3 linked regions of the Schizosaccharomyces pombe genome follow. The gene in region 3 interacts genetically with the main gene of each other region. Each region holds a gene or a part of one and is shown on either strand. Other genes may lie near its edges.

The links. A genetic interaction does not mean that the proteins touch.
Region 1: mutations in pit1 (region 3) and bun62 together harm fitness more than expected from each alone (negative genetic interaction), as found in Schizosaccharomyces pombe (one large-scale study listed by BioGRID).
Region 2: mutations in pit1 (region 3) and SPOM_SPAP27G11.11C together harm fitness more than expected from each alone (negative genetic interaction), as found in Schizosaccharomyces pombe (one large-scale study listed by BioGRID).

The regions. Positions count from the first base shown.
Region 1 is NC_003424.3:4,576,477-4,581,222, reverse strand, and holds bun62 (WD repeat-containing protein), read right to left. Parts: upstream 2,914-4,746; 5' UTR 2,597-2,913; coding exon 965-2,596; 3' UTR 501-964; downstream 1-500. Other genes in the region: pby1 (tubulin-tyrosine ligase), read right to left, coding at 1-399; acetylase Sdg1, read left to right, coding at 4,288-4,746. UniProt on the Schizosaccharomyces pombe protein: Required for the ubp9 recruitment to septa and cell tips but also for its enzymatic activity at these specific locations.
Region 2 is NC_003424.3:1,630,400-1,633,022, reverse strand, and holds SPOM_SPAP27G11.11C (uncharacterized protein), read left to right. Parts: upstream 1-1,819; coding exon 1,820-1,842; exon of another isoform or gene 1,843-1,894; intron 1,895-1,924; coding exon 1,925-2,123; downstream 2,124-2,623. Other genes in the region: SPOM_SPAP27G11.12 (uncharacterized protein), read right to left, coding at 1-578, 629-661, 814-856, 936-955; SPOM_SPAP27G11.16 (uncharacterized protein), read right to left, coding at 1,426-1,740.
Region 3 is NC_003424.3:2,071,620-2,081,085, forward strand, and holds pit1 (serine/threonine protein kinase Pit1), read right to left. Parts: upstream 5,315-9,466; 5' UTR 4,628-5,314; coding exon 2,675-4,627; 3' UTR 2,287-2,674; downstream 1-2,286. Other genes in the region: mug191 (alpha-1,6-mannanase), read right to left, coding at 285-1,613; ate1 (arginine-tRNA--protein transferase), read right to left, coding at 5,661-5,765, 5,805-6,065, 6,107-6,177, 6,224-6,747, 6,802-6,867, 6,909-6,940, 6,995-7,111; AAA family ATPase Elf1, read right to left, coding at 7,655-9,466.

The sequences.
Region 1 (4,746 bases), 2.5 Mb from region 3:
ATTTTCCTCCAGTTCTTGACGAAGTTCATAAGCTTCCATTAATGAATCATCAAGGAATTCTGCATAGTCTAATTCCAAAGAATAGGCTTCAGGCACCGATTTAGACAATATTGAATCCGGATGTTTTGCCAGGTACGTTATGACAGTACGCCAGAGGTATTCTTTCCTGATTAAAGCCTTGCGAATCACATAAGAGCAGCAAAGTTTTGTTTTTGGGTTCTTGTAAACTTCGTCAAAGTCGATATCTTCGTACTGTGCCCATTGAAAATTTGCTTCCTTCGCTGAATTTGTAAAAGTTAACTCTTTTCCACTATTCTTCAACGCAGATATGATTTTTGGCTCTGCATACTCGTCACGATAGTTGACATAAACTTTTATGTCTTTCTTAGTAGAAGACATGTACGAAACTACCTTCTTTGGACTTTCTAGAGTTGGGGTAGGAGGATACAACGAATATTAAAAAATATAAAAGCGCAATTCTTTAGTAGGGTGAAAGAAAAAATAGATCATAAATACATACTATACTAAAAATTACAAATAACATTAAAATTGGATAGCTTCATTAAGATTTGTCATATTGGGAATAAGAAGGGCTTTAACGATAACATCTATTGACAATATAACTAATACTTTATAGTTTGGGCTCTGAAATGAATAACTCTTCTCTTACAGTCTGTTAATGAACTTTGCATATCTTTAATAATTGTTTTTGCAAAACAAAGAGAAGACTTGAATATGTAAGGGAAAAAGCATGAGCTAGCACACCAACTGAAAAATTGAAAAGTGTTACTCAAAACACAAATTAAAATTTAAATATACAGATTTAAGATTAGTAGCAAAAGAGCTATAATCACTGTTAACCAAACGTCAGTATTTGAAAAAAGAAAAAAAAACATAGTTATACAGTAAGTACTATAATATTGAGAAAACAATGAACCAAAAACTTAAGGCATCTAATGTGTGTTTATGGACGTTGCCATGTTCGAATTCTTCCGTTTGTAGCACATGTTATCATACAGTCAGGATCAAAGAAGACGGAACTGAGAGGACTATCATCGACATCGTAAATGGTAATAGGTGATATAACAGGTATTAAAGAACGAGATAATGTAGGATGGATAGTAATATCGCCGTTCACATAATTTGAATTGTCAATTTCTGATCCCATTGTTAAATCACCGACATCATCAAAATCACTTATAGCTGGTTTAGAATTATTAGAATGATGATTCACATAATAAACTGCAGACTTGGGTCTATGAATAGCGCTCACACTGAAATCCCAGAGTAGTAGTTTTCTGTCGAGTCCTACACTAGCTATTCTATAATTATCATCATCACATCTCCAAGCATCAAATATCACATCGGTGACCCAAGATTTATGGCCTTGACAGCGAGCTACTAACTTTCGTAAAGGAAAGGAGTATATTGAAACCAGATCATCTTTACCTCCTATAGCGATAAATTTACCATCTGGAGACCAGGTGACACAGGTTAACCCAGCAAAGTAACTATGAAAAACATCAAGGACGTGTTCCTTCACAAAATCAAAAAGCTTCAATGTTCCTCTCTCAGAGACGAGTGCCAGGTATTGATAATCGGGACTGAAACAAAAGCCGTTAATCGGTGATTTTGAAAATGCATAGCAAGCAACCGGATTGAGTTTACGGTCATCTCGGTGATTAATACTTATGAGAATATTAAAGGTTCCTGGAGAACTAAGATATAAAGATTTTAGGTTTTTTTCCGGTACCACAATATGGAGTGGTTGCTCGTGACGATATTTGTCATAAAGCACAAGCCAACCATTGCGAAAAGATACCAAAAATTGAGAATCTTTGCCAGCAACCCACTTTATAGCGGTAACAGAGGAGCTATTCAGCTGTCCATTTTTGTTAAAGCGTAAATACTTGAAATTAATAGGATCATACCAAAGTACGTCGCCTGTATCAAACCCAATTATTACGTCCAAGCCCTTGGGACTTTTAGTAAAGGAATTTATATCATGGCAAACAGGTGATGCCCTTGGAAATTCCATTTTGAGTAAGGCAGAATGGGAATTAGCAGCACTCACATCAAGCCAATAAAACGATTTTTCGTGATTAGCAAACACAAAGGTTTTACCATGAATAGAAGGCTGAAAAGAACGTACTATGTTGTCATGAAATGTAAGGGAGGAGATAAAGGATTTAGCATTGATTAAAGGAGCACCAGCACGAGAGGCCGGTCTGTGAAGCTTCAAATAAGGAGTGTTAGAGGAAGAAAAGTTGTGGGACTTTCGTTTACTATTGCGATAATTTTCAAGAATTGAGGGGACATCTCTATTCTCTTCAACATGATGAACGCCATGAATTTTCTTAAGTTCTTCAATATATTCTCGTGGATAGGGGTAATCCCAACGGGAGAATTGAGCAATATTTATCCGCATAAAGAACAGACGTTTTACAGGCGTGTTTGGATCTAAAGGTGAACCGGTAATTTGAGGAGTAGAACGTGATGAACTGCCTAATTGAAATTCATCCTTCAAAACATATTCTCCCTCGCGAGCAGTTAAAAACAGAACCGGACGGGCAATTCCAGAAGACATCGTTTGCATAATATAGTTAGGTAAAGGATAAGAAGTGAAAGTTCTGCTGAAACAATCCAAATGGTAACGACCTCAAGTACTGAGAAGTTTCTATTCAATGAAGTCGTAAAAGACAATTAAGAAATGTATTTAAATTAGTGAATCTAGTAAGAAGAGCGATTTTTAAGCTACTGCTTTCTCTTTTATTAATCAATGAGAATTAAAATAGGAGTATACGAAATCGCATTCGAACAAATTAATTTATAATTAAAACTTATGCAGAAGACTGAATTTCCTGCAAAATCGTAAAATGTTCTTAACCGACTAGCTCGACCGTACAGTTTGTTGAAATCTTCTAAAGGAGTAGCGTGTCACTTATAATATGAAAGCGACATAAATAACGCTAATTAAAGAACAAACCCAATTTACGTTAATAAAAGGGTATGTGTTTCATTTTAACATTTATTGAAGCTGCTTGAGGTAAATATTTCAATACACTATTCTTTGCAATATTTGGATCAATCACATTTTTTAAAACTCATTAAATAGTTCAAATAAAGAACTCTTTAAACTTGCGTTAAAATATAGCAGATACATACTGCATTGCTTTGAAACAAAACTTTATTAGCACTTTGCACGATTATATTGTATCCCGTTAACCATCACTATATACTACGTGTCAGGAATTATTTACGTTTCTGTCCCCTTGGGTACTCTTCATTGCTTTTTTATATTCAAAAGCTATTTAAGAATAAGGATAATGCAATGGAACTTCTTTCTTTAGTATAGTTTTTAAGTTATTCGTAAAGTGTAATACTATTTAGTATCTATAATTCTTAATATAACCAAATCATTGGCAAATTAACTGTGTAAAATAATTTTGATCACTCAAAAAACTTATCGTTGTGTTATAGCTTTATAATGTTATGAGCTAGTTAGTAAGGCCCTATTATACAAGAATTTCGAAAACGGTGAAATTTGCAATATTTGTAACTTGCAAGAAGTGAAAATTCAGCATTTATACGTTTTGTGAGTGTAGTATATTTTCACTCTTGGTCAAAATAGGCACGCTGAAAGTAGTGTAATCTATGAAGCTTTAATTTATATAGTGAAAAATACTGTAAATGGATTTCCTATCCTTGGTTTTCGGATTCATGTAAAGTTTGTTATGCAATCTAATCGATGCATTATTACCTTCCCTATTTCTCTACTCAATTGCCATTTTTTTTAAATGTATATTCTGTTCCTATGTATACATTATACTCTTTTTATCCTAGGAATTATTTAAAGATTTAATATTCAAGCCTAAAAAAATTGTAGAAACTAATTATTTAGTAACTGAAGATATAGCTTATAAATCCAATTGTTATTTCAGCTAGAAATGTTACTTCGATCGTCACAATATTCTTTTCTATTCCTAAAAACATTTTAAAAGCTAGTTGACCCTAAATGTGATTTATCAATAGAATCAATAATCTCAATCATTTAATAAGAGGGTAGATTTGATCAAATTCTAGTTGTATGAAATTACAATTCGCAAAAATTGACTGAAACAACCAAGGGTTGGGTAAATCTATGGTGGTATAATGGCTTCATTCTTACCTACTCCACTTACGAACCTCCATCTTCTTAAATTTCACAGTAGAAGGTAATTGTAAAAGAAATATTGTGACAATAAATTTTAAAAAGATTAGCAAAAAAGAATATTTAATTACATAAAAATGTCGAATGTGCAACGTAAAAGAATTGATATTCGTCGTCCCACCCTTGCGGAGCTGTCGAGTATTCGATCGATTGCCATGAATGCGTTGAACGGTCAATCGAGAAATCTCTCTCAAAAAATCTTTTGGCACCCGTTGTATCTTGCGGTTTTTGGTTTGGTGTTTATGGGGATATATCGCTTAACAAACATGGTAGAAGGAAATACAAAATTACGAACTTTTGTTTTATTAATATTGGTTAGCGCTGTCTTTTTGACGTTGATTGAATTTCCCTGTAGAAATGTGTATGCAAAGATTAGCACTGAAGACAATCAACCTGACGGCTGCTTGGCTGAAGAGAATCTTAAACATTTTTATATGGCCCGCATTGACAAAGAACGAGTTATTGGTATTATAGGTATCTTGCCTGCAAATGCTCCTGGTGCATACCAAAACACACCAACTATTGTCCACTGGACT
Region 2 (2,623 bases), 440 kb from region 3:
CGCCTGTTAGCTATTGAAGCAACATAAGCACAACAACTGCTTCCATTGCCATCTGTTCGATATATTTCCTCGGAAAATAATGAAAGTAAGAGTCGGAGGACTTCGACACGGTGAAGTTCGTACGAGCGCTCTTTCAACATTGTGGGATGATAAACTACCCCAGTTTCCCAAATACAGTAGTGAACTCCATGGGTAAGATCATTATGAGCAGGGATGGTAAAATTGATTAGGAACAGATAATCTACAACGGTGTTTAAAAAGCTTGCTCCTCGGGGTGTATTGATGTTCGGATCCTTTGGAACTGTCCACGCAAAATAGTCAAACCATTCTAACATTGACTTATCCTCAAATATAATTGGCATAAGCCTTGTCAAAAGTCGCATACAATTTAACGCGCATTTTGTAGTGGGAGCGGCGGGGTCATCAAACAATGTTTCTTTTTGTAGATCTTCTAATTTGTCCCAGAGTACAGCAATAATAGTTTGCAAATTTTCTGGAGCGTTGTCTTTAACTTTTGTCAAATCATCGATAGACATCAAATGAAACACGTCTTCGGTTGTTTCTGGAAGCGTCCAAAGCTAAAGATTATTAGTTAGCAAAAATATTCACGAATAAAGATCACACTTACACGCTCCCATATAAGGTCAAATTTTGGAATGTTCTGAATTGGTTAGTACACTTGAAATTTTCAATTATTTATGATTATATTCAAATTGAATTCACATTCATTAGCAGAGAATCCTAAGAATTGAACTTCGTATTCTCTGGCATTCACTGAATTATGAAACCAACCAAAAGAAAAATATTACCTACCCTTTCTTCGTGTAGTCGTAAAACCGCGTTCCTAAAGTCTAACCTGTAATTTGGTTAATAATGTATTGGTTCTTCCCCAAACCTACGGCAGGTTGAGAAATTGGACAAAAAAATAAACATACTTAGACTGTTGAGAACCCATCGAATGTGAAGGTGAAAAGTATGCATACAATCAAAGTGACACAGAGAGTGAACTGAAAAAAAAAACGATGAAAAATCTATGATTGCGAAATTTGTAAAGAGGGGAAAATGGTTGAGAGAGGGAGGAAACCAGGAAACAAGGTGATTATCTTATAGCCCAACGAAAACAATCGTCGGTTTCAGCGAAAAAAAGTACGAAAATACTCTTGTGAAGGATTTGGCTGAAGCAAAAAAGTTCTTCAAATTCAGTTTGCAAAGCACTTTTTGATAAAACTCAAATGACTTATGGAAGAGAGAAATACTAGTTAAGTACTTTTGAATAACGTTCCAGCACTAGTTTTCCCCCTCTTTAGTTTTTATAAACTAAACTTTCAAGCAAAGATGCAGCATAGGAAAACTGTAGATATCCGACCTTGAATTTTGTGAGACTCGTAGGTAGAAAAGAGAAGCCTATTGTGTCGCCCAGCGGGCTTAAAGACTAGGAGACTCAGAGGATTTAAAATTAAAGGATAGAAAAGATATTGAAAATGTAGTACTCCAAATCTTTTCAAATTCGCACTTTGAAGCCGCGATGATAAAATCTCGCAAAATTCTTAACGTGGTCGAAAATGACGAAAAAGCGAATGAGAATAAACGAACTGCAATTAAAATCCTATTCGATTTTAATTTTTCAATACTATAACAAGGATTACACTCAAAAAACACACTGCTACTACGTTCAGTAAAATTGGTGTTGTTTTCATGTAAGATTGCACCTTGCTTAAAAAACCGAAGGCATGACCCCATGTAAGGACTTGCCCCAGGTAACGTAATATCGACTGAATGCTACACCAAATTTTAAGACGGTAAGAAGCATTATGAAAATATGACATGCAATCATGAAAACCCGTATATAACTCACCACGGCAAAGTGCATCTTATAACTTCATAGAATTCACAGTCAATGAAATTTCTCTAATTTTTCCTTTAGCCATTTTTTGTTTAAAATTGATTCATATTCCAAGACATTTTTGCTCAGCTGTTATTGTGTTTCCATTTACAGGCTCGAAGAATGCTCGGGAAGGTTTAAACCATCTTCGTATTCATTACATCTTTTGAAATCACTATCAATCATTATCTGTGAAAATCCTAGTCAAACCTTCAATATTGGATTAAATCAACCGAAATGATTTTTACTCCCATTAAAATATCCAATACATTCGAGACAAACATGGTGAAAATAAATCGCTCATCTAATTAATTGAGTATCGCTTAATGTATCAAGTTGCAACACCGATCAATTGTTATTTTCTTAGTTCATGTTGGCAAGGCGGAACTTCTCTGTTGATCGATTTACATTCCGACTTTCCGTACGTGCGTGTTGTGCTGCTATTACGGTAGTAACAACGAGACTCGGAGCGATCGCTAGTAGTACTAACAGTAATTTTTGAACAAATCAGATATGAAGCAAAAGCGGCGGTAATTTCACTGAAGGAGCCAGGTGTTCTTGAGTCCGTGACTCAGATTACAGATATAGTCTTAAGTTTATTAATTTGAGGTTTATCATCTTCCAATGGTGAACGCCCACATCCTTTCCTTCTTTTGTCCTGAGCCAGCTTAAGCTTAAATTAAGCTGTAAGTGAATTTTCCGTTGGCAAAAGTTACATACATCAATTTCAGCCACAGTGAA
Region 3 (9,466 bases):
GAACGTCAGTGAAAAGTATAAAGAGATTAGTAGACTAATCATGTAAACTCGCTTATTTAGGTAAAAAAAAGTGGCAATGATGTTTGTTATAGACATAAATTCTCATTAAAATATATAAACAACAAGGGTTTTAATTAGAAAGTCGTGTTATACTGCTTATTCTTAATAACTATGCAAAATTTTAAAGCAATTCATTTGAAATTCATTTATTCAACATAAATAAAAGACGCGTTAAAGGGGAATAATTTACCTGATAAAATATTATAAGCAATTTGAACGGTTGCTCAAGAGATCACACAATCTTTATCTTTTTTACCATGGCTAGGTTGAGGAAGAGTTGTCGACTCACCTGAACTCGGGTTATTTCGGTTAACAATTTCTGCAGCAGAAAACAGCATTCTAGCAGCACCAGCACTTCCAATCAGTGTAGGACACAAAGGTCTTTGTTCCACTGGTCCTTCTTGTTGAATGCGTTCATCTTTATCTGGTTGAAATTGCTTGTTTGCATTGAAAAACTTATTGAACGAGGCTGTCAATTCGGGACTCAACTTGTAAAGACCAAAGTTGCGATAATATAGACCTTCCTTTGGAATACGTAAATATTTCATGAGAAAGTCGGCTTGATCTAAAACCATTTTTTGAGCAGGTTTTGCCAACGCAGATGATGGCATTGCATAAGAAAATGTCATTAAACCTTCGGAAAGATGCTGAGCAAAAAAGGTATTATCAGACCATACTTTAAAGCTTCCATTACATGATTGATCATACAATGGGCCATTGGTGTCCAAAGCACCTCTAGCCATATCCTCTAAGTACGTCGGAAGCTTTTCAATATCTTGCAATCCTTTAGTGAATTCACCTAGACCCATCAATAAAGACATGGCTGTCATAGTGGTACCAGTGTTATAAGTAAAGCGTGCCTTATCTAAGACCCATTTTCCGTCTTTCAAACTAAGACCGTCACAAACAATATGATTTTCATCAAGCAAGTTTTCCTGAATCCATCGAACACAATTCCAAGCAAACGAAACAAGATGTTGCTTTTTGTTAGGATCGTCCAACGCCAGAGCAAGTCGCAAAGCAGCAACTGCAGACATAGAAGTAGAGCAGGCATTTAGATTAGTCCATGGTGGACCAGTAGTACGGGTATGCCAAGCAATACCTCCACGTTGCTGATTCCAACCTTTGTTGATAATAAGCGAAATTATACTTTCTGCTCGACTAACATAATGATCGCGACGTGAACTGTTTGTAGTATAATAGCCAGCCGTAGCCAAGCCAATAGCTACCTGTGCATTGTCATCATAATATACGTCGTCATTTCCTTCAAAATAGTGAAAAGCACAACAGGCATTAAAAACGGGGGACCAATATTTCTTCAAAGCTTGGAACACATGTTCGAATTTCCGCTCAAACTTGCTGGTGTATCTTAAACTGTCTGCCATTGCTTCTGCATATACAGCCACGGACCAAACAAGAAAGATATGATCTTTGTCAATAGTGCCTGAACAGGCAAAGGCGCTACCCATTCTATCAGTGTACTTATCAAAAAAAGTTTTAAAGCATTGATCTACTACATTCAGCGCTTCGTTAAGGTAAACGTTTTCACTCATTGTAAACTTTTTATAATTCCTGGTTTACAAAAATTGTTCGTTAATAGTATATTCCTGAGAAATCGTTAAATAAGGCAAAAAAAATCTGCCAAATGTACAACTTGATATAAAGAAAAGAAATAACAGTTATTTAATAATGAACTTCCTGGGAAAATGTAACTCAAAAAGCAGTAGTTGTCAACTACTTAAAATTCATGAAATCGTACGCTTGCTTGGTCTTTGCAAGTAGTTATTATGAAACCTCGCTTTTCTTATAAAAAGTTATCTCGGGCAATTCGTAATTGGAAAAAGTAAGATAAACGCCTCACGGTTTCCTCAATAATTACATGTGGTAATTCTTGGTTATTGACGAAATGCTTCTCTGAGACGTGGTATCCAGCTACTCGGGAATATTGCGTCATATAAATTAACCTACTCAAACAAGCGAATTGTATATTTACTAGCTTACATGTGTATATGTAAGAGATAAAAGCACACAGTACATTTAGCAGTTATTTCTTCAAGTAAAAACTACCATTTTATATTCATAAAAATAAACATAGTATCGAGTGTTTATTCTTTTCTTTCTCCCCTTACAAATAGCTTTGGTATTGCATCTCTGTGCTACTGTGTTGCAAATATAAAAAATTAAGTAAAAAACAACTACTACAATTTTACGATTATCACTTAAATAGAAAATCAAAAGCAGCTTTCATCATTGCAGTTATATACATGTATTTAAAAATATGTAAGGTAATGTCATCATTTAGCGTTACCTAGACTACAAAAAATGCTAAATTAAGGCGAACAAAATTCCGGAAAGAAAGATAAACAAAATAAACGAAAAAGAAAAAAAAATAAGAAAAGAAAAGGTGATGCTAAAACAAAAAACATGTAAAATTTGCTTCTCAAAATAGTAAATTTGGAAGTGAAATAAATAAAGTAGTTGACAAAAGAGCGTAATTCAGGGAAGAGACCAAGGAATTAAGGGGAAATAAAAAGAAAGAAAGGTCGGCAAAACATGGAGAAATAAAAGGAAAAGAAAAGATTAGTGGAATAATCAAAAGTAAAAGTGTTATGAGCTAGGGAAGCAATTGTGTCGAAACGTGTGTTTTAGAGCGATCGATAATTTTCGAGTCGGGAAGTGTTAGACTACCAGCTAACGATGTGATACCAAAATCTGGAAAATCTCTGTCCAAAAACGTTGAGGAAATAGCTGAAGAGTCATTAGATAAGACTGTTGATGTACCACTTGAATTTGTATAGGCTAATGTTTTACGAAGAAGGTCCTGCGTAGCATGGAAAGAAGGTGGAGACTTGGCATAATTGTTCACAGTAGCCATATCACGGTGCAAATCTTTGCTGTGAAGTGTCGGTGAATGATTAGATGACCGGGGACTGTATTTAGAGGATTCACTGTTTACAGATTGATTTTCGCGCTTATCTTCGTGAGATAGAATCGATAGCTGAGGGGAAATTAAATCACTTAAACACGTAGAAGCAGAAAGTTGCGTACTACCAGACTTGGAGTTAGGAGAGTTATTCAACAAAGCTTCTTGACTTTTATTTATAGCAACAAGAAATTCGGTTGAAGGCAAAGGACGGTCAAATTCCTTCGCTTTGGGGGAAGTAGAATCTTCAGAAGATGAAATAATGAAGTTTCGTAACTTGAGATTCAAAGGAGTAGATGGGCGTATTTGGGGTAAAACGGGAAAAAATGTTGAAGAGGTGATACTATCAGCAATATCTTCTGACTCTTCAGAAAACTGAGTAGCCACTGAAGACTTATTTTTACGGTTCTTTGATTGTTTTCTTGACTTACGAAACGGTTTAGTAAACCCATTGAAACCTTTATTCAGCTGTTTAAGAAACTTTGAAGTTGAAGGATTGATCCTAGATTCTTCCTCAGTGTTACATTCATCTGGAATGGAACTAGACGAAGGGAAATATGATATTGAAACACGAAAATCAGTGTTTTTATTGACTTCCTCTTTACTGGCAACTGCATCAGCCGGTGCGGAAACTCGACAAAATTCTAAATCAAGGCACATTTCTGCAGTAGGTCGTTTGGCTGGATCCCACTTTAACAATTGGGACAACATTGAAGCAAAAGCTAAATTCCATGGTGGGGAAAATAAGTCTCCAAAGTCGAGCGGAGCCATTTTGGGTAGAGAAATACCTAGCTTATTAGCTAATAGTTCAGCTCGATCCCAGATACCACCTCCCTTATCTCCAGTATTCTGAGATTGCTCATCAGGGCTTCCAAGTATTTCACACATTTTATATAATTGGTCGAAATCATCATTTCCAGGAAAAATTGGTTGAAGTGTAGCAATTTCAAATGCCATGCATCCAGCAGCATATATGTCGACCGGAAACGAATAATAAGAGTCCCGTAATAATAGTTCAGGTGCACGATACCAACGAGTGGATACGTATTCGGTATATGGAGGCCGCGAATTAATTTCACGAGCAAGACCAAAATCTGCAATCTTAACATTGAAAGAAGAAGAGTCACTATTTGAAGAAATTAAAATATTTTCTGGTTTCATGTCTCTGTGGAAAAAACCATTTGTATGAATATGATTGAGGCCTTTGAATATTTGACGCATAATATCTTGAACTTGCTCAAGAGTCAAAGGGTCGTTCTTTCTAGTACTTATTAGCTGGTACAAATTGCAATCGAGAAACTCCATTACAATATGTAAACATCGAAATTGATCTATATATAAATCGAAAATATTAACTATATTTTCATTTTCGGAAAGTCTCAACAAAGAATGTACCTCGCGCAATCTGGTAGCATCAGAAACCTTAGCCAGCTTTTTCTTCATACTTTTTATAGCTACTACTTCTTTAGAAGGAGTTTTAGTAGTTGCAAGGTAAACTGAACCGAAGGTGCCATCTCCAACCTTTCGCACAACATTATATACTTCATCAATTGAAATGCATTTGCGAACCTCCTTGGTATACTTTGGTTGCTTGCCTGTAAATACGGTATTCGTAGTTGGAGTACCCCACAAATACTTCTTCATAATATATCCGCACAAAAATCGAGTTTAGGTACAAAATAGAATCAGTGAAGCACCTCAACAAAAAAGATAAAACATGCGAAATCCTGTAAAAAGAGATATAAAAAAACTTTGTTGCAAAGGCAATATTATACTTGAGAAGCAGCTTCCAAGTAGCATACAGCTTAAACGCAATAAAAATCAAATCAAAATCAGTGATTTTCAATAAAGAATGAAATTGAACAAGTAAATACACCTCTCTATACAAGTATTTATCGTTGAGAAATGGTGTAACTTATTCAAAGAAAAAATGGAAGCGGTAAATGGATTTAAGCCTGTATTAAGAAAATCACAGTGCAAATTAATGAATTCTTTATACAAATGGTACAAAAATAGATAAAAGAACAATCCCTTATTACAACACCTTGTTTTAGGAAAGTAAAAGTAAAATAACTTCAAAATGGCATTCGAAGAAAAAATCAGTGCCTAGAAGTTGAATTGTAAGCCAACCGTGATTAATTATTTTTAAAATGCAGTCAACCCAATTTTGACACGAAATGTCATCGAAATCTGGTGTTTGCTAATACTCTATAGAATGAGAACCTAGCAGTAACACTTGAGAAAGAAAAAAGAAGAACAATTAAAGTAAAATCTCTTCTCTAAATGATAAAATCCTTTCTCACCTACTATGCACTGTTTTGCGATTATATTAAGTCGTGAAGTACCGGTAAACCCGTTTTTGTGTTTGGTTGCAAACAACTCGTAACGGAAAAGCCCACTAAGTTATGTTAGGGTGACATTTTAGGTAGCGTGCAGTTATAAATAATTACAAAATAAATATATAAGCCGGCAGTATTTTATATTATTAGAAATGCTATCAACTTCGATTAAGGGACATAAAAGAGGAAACTATCACACATAAGTAGTAGCATAAAATTAACTTAATTCTGTAAGTCACATTGTAAAATTTACTCTCAAAGCCATCCTGGAGTTCATTAAGATTTTTAAGTAGGATGTTCATATCTTAAGCAAATAAAACACGTAGACAGATAATATATCAACTAGATAAAACAAGTGTATAACTCTTTGCGACTTCTTCGCCCACAGCAGCATTGATTTCAACAAACCAATGTTTAACCTGAGGGAAATAACTTAAAACATGCTGAAGAATTAGCATTGTTACTCAAAAATAAAGACATACTCTTGTGGGGAAAGTTGAATTGCCAATGTTAGCAAAATTCTCCGAAACCAAGGACTCAGCAACATTTACTGAAAGAATTCCAGGAAGCTGTCGATTAAACAGTGTATAATCATCTTCGTTTTGAGATGAATCTTCAGAAGAATCGTAGTCAACAGCAGTTTGAATATCACTATTATTTTCATCCCCGAAACTTATATATTTAGGAGCACCAGTATTCCAAAGTGAAGTAAAGTTTTCAATTGGTATCCATTTATTTGTACCCTGTTTGTATTAGTTCAAGTTAAAATCGAATGTATACGTACGGGATTAAGCAGGTACGATGGACTATACGTTGCCTTATACTTCATTTTGGGACATGTGTGAATATAATAACCTGCAAGGTCAATCAACGTAATTAAATAAATGACATTTTAGCCTACCCATGTAGTAGTACCGATATCCGCATTCAAGAGCAAGCCAGATTTCACGGCAGGCACTAATCCTTCCCAGAGAAAACTTAGACATATCAGGATCATAAAACAGATAAACGCTAGAAACACCATGTGGTAGCAAGTCTAAAACTCCAACTGCCACAAGCCTTCCTTGAAATCGATACATCTGATGATAAGAACCATACTTTATCCCCTTGTCTTCATTAAATAAAGGAGAGTTGCAAAGAAACCTGCTAAATCCTTTTTTCGTGATTTCCTCTTCTTTCTCTAAATGAACTTGCATTTGATACTTTTTGAAGACTTCAAATTTCTCATCGGTGTAAGTGCAAGGCTCCATAGTTACAGAGTATTTTTCAGCTCCGAGCGATTCTATAGTTTGAAAGGCATTGTTCAAATAATCTGTGCTAATTTCGCTTTTCATAGGTTTTAATGGCTTTCCATTTACATATTTGACCCATTTTTTTATTGCCTTCTTTTGCTCTTTTGCAATTTTAAAATTATAGCTGTCGAGTCTTCAACATTCGGCGGTTAGTAATCAATCATATTTGGCGACTTATGCTAAGTACCTGATTGTATAAAGAGAACAGCAAGATGTTTTCCCGTTGGGTTTATATAAATAATGTCCTGAACGTCTTATTTTATATTAGCAATGTTAACTAATAAAGGTTTTTACCTCCATCCCAAATCAATCAATCGCTGGTAGTCCTGAGGTTAAATGTAGGTTAGCAAAATTTGCAAAAAGCAGAGTTATACGCTTACTTCACAACTGAGCTTTTCTGCTAATAAACCAAAATGCTCGGTCTTTCTTCCACTTTTACAATAACCACATTCAGTACTGACGTTGTACCCTGTGTACAACAGTTTATCCAATACCATACTATTGTTTGAAAATTTCCCTGTTTAATATTAAATGAACTATATCATCAGTAGTAAAACTCTTAGTTCAGTTCTTTTGCCTTTATTTTGAAGGCTCTTTGAGTAGGTGAACTAAGACTACACCAATTATTTCTTGAAGATTAAGTACCCTATTTTTCGTTGAGTGCATGTTTATAGAAATTTCCTGATTAATCATATTAAAAAGTCTATCACATTTTCATACGAATATCTAGAAAAAAACCCAAAAAATACATAGTTCTCTTGACACCTTTTACAAGAGTCAATGACAAAAGTGTATACGTCTAATACAACTATAACATGCACTAACGATAAACAAAACATATAAAAAGCGACTAATATTAATATTATCCACGATACCATCCACCAAGTTCTATATATATAAATTAAGTCTAAAAGGTATATCAGTAAACCGTAAATATGTAAAAGACCAACTTCAACAACTAGCACCGTCTAAAGAAAATTAAAGGATAAACAACTCTCAACTTGTCAATCCAAAGAGCGAATTAAAAAATTAGTCTGAAATTATTCTTCATCATCAGAGAAGAATGATTTGGGTTTTTCGGTGCCCTTGGGAGATTGTAACCATGCTAATTCTCTCTCTCTAGCACGTCTTTCTTTGGCCTTGATTTCATTTCTCGTCAATTTCTTCTTTTTGGTAGCTTTAGCCTCAATCTTTTTCAAATCTTTCTCCGACAGATCTTCAAACTTTCCATCGTCAACAGCGGTCTTGCCCTTACCGGTAACCTTACCCGCTTCTACATGCCAGTGTTCAGGACACAACGCAGAAACAAATTCTTCATTATGTGAAATCATAACGACCCCACCTTCCCAATCACGAATAGCAACAGCTAAACCACCTAATGCATCTCTGTCCAAAAAGTTTGTAGGTTCGTCCAAAACCAAAAGCTGGGGGTTATTCCAGAGACACGCAGCAATAACAACTTTAACCTTTTGACCGCCAGACAAACTACTAATGGGGCTGTAATCAGCAATGTCGCCAGGAAGGCCCACATCCTCAAAATGTGCCCTGATGTCTTCGGGAATCAATTCACGGAAACCGAGACCTTCGCGAGAAGATTCCATATCATCAAAAGCCTGTACAAACTTTTGAAACCCATTTTCAAGCAATATTTCTCGAGACACCCACGTATTGTATTTATGAGGCTTCCCAAACCATTTAATTTCATATTGAAATGACTTTTTTAGTTTTTGACGGCCAATCAAAGCTTCCACTCTTCTACGTTCGCCATTGACCGTAATATCACGCTGAAGCTGAGCACGGTCTTCTTCGGTAAGTTTTCGAGATTCCTTCTCTGAAACTTCGCGGTCCTGTCCTCCAGCATAACGCCATTGAATATATTGACTTGGCGTTTTTTCCAGATGTTGATCCAAGTGATGAAAGGCATGCTGAGCAACGTAACCCACACGCAAGTTGGGATGCTTGAAAACTTTTCCTTCTTGAGGGATTACTTCACCGATAAGAACTTTAATAAGCGTTGATTTACCAGCACCGTTAGGACCTAAAATGGCAACACGAGAAGATAAAGATAACCCAACGGTAACATTATCTAATGACTTCTTCTTCGCGTTGGGATATGTATAAGAAGCGTTTGTCATTTTTAATATGAGACGTGTGTTTGAGCGCACACCAGTTAAGATACCGGGAGGTGGAAAAACAAACTTCTCGTTTGTGGCTGTCAATGTATAGTATGATTTAGCTTCCGGTTTGACCTTGACAAAAGCTGAAAGATTACCTTGATAATAACCAAGCTTTTTTGCCTGGTTTTTAACACCTTCATAATGAATGATGTCAGTACACACGTGGTCCAAAAATGAAGAGTCGTGAGAAACTATCAAGCAAGTAATATTCTTTTGAGAGGTTAAATATGCTTCCAGCCATGCAATATTGGCAACATCAAGATGATTTGTTGGTTCATCCAAAAGCAAAATATCAGCTTTCTGCAACATGGCACGAGCCAACTCCAGTTTCATTTTCCAACCACCAGATAAAGAAGCAACAGGATTTTCCTGCATCTCCGCAGTAAAACCAACAGAATGCAAAGCATCAGCAGCTTCTTGACGGGTAACATTCATAGTCAGTAACGCCTTATCTTGAGCAACAAAGTCAAGGATAGCCATACTAGTATCCTCGCCTTGAAGACTATGTGCAACAAAGCAAGTTTTAACCTCATCAGGTGAGGGAAAGTTTTCAACCTTGTAATCACCAATAGCGCGTAACAAGGTTGATTTACCACAACCATTGTGACCAACAACACCGTATCGATGACCTCTATAAAGGTGAAGATTGGTATGACTCAGAAGCAATCTGCCACC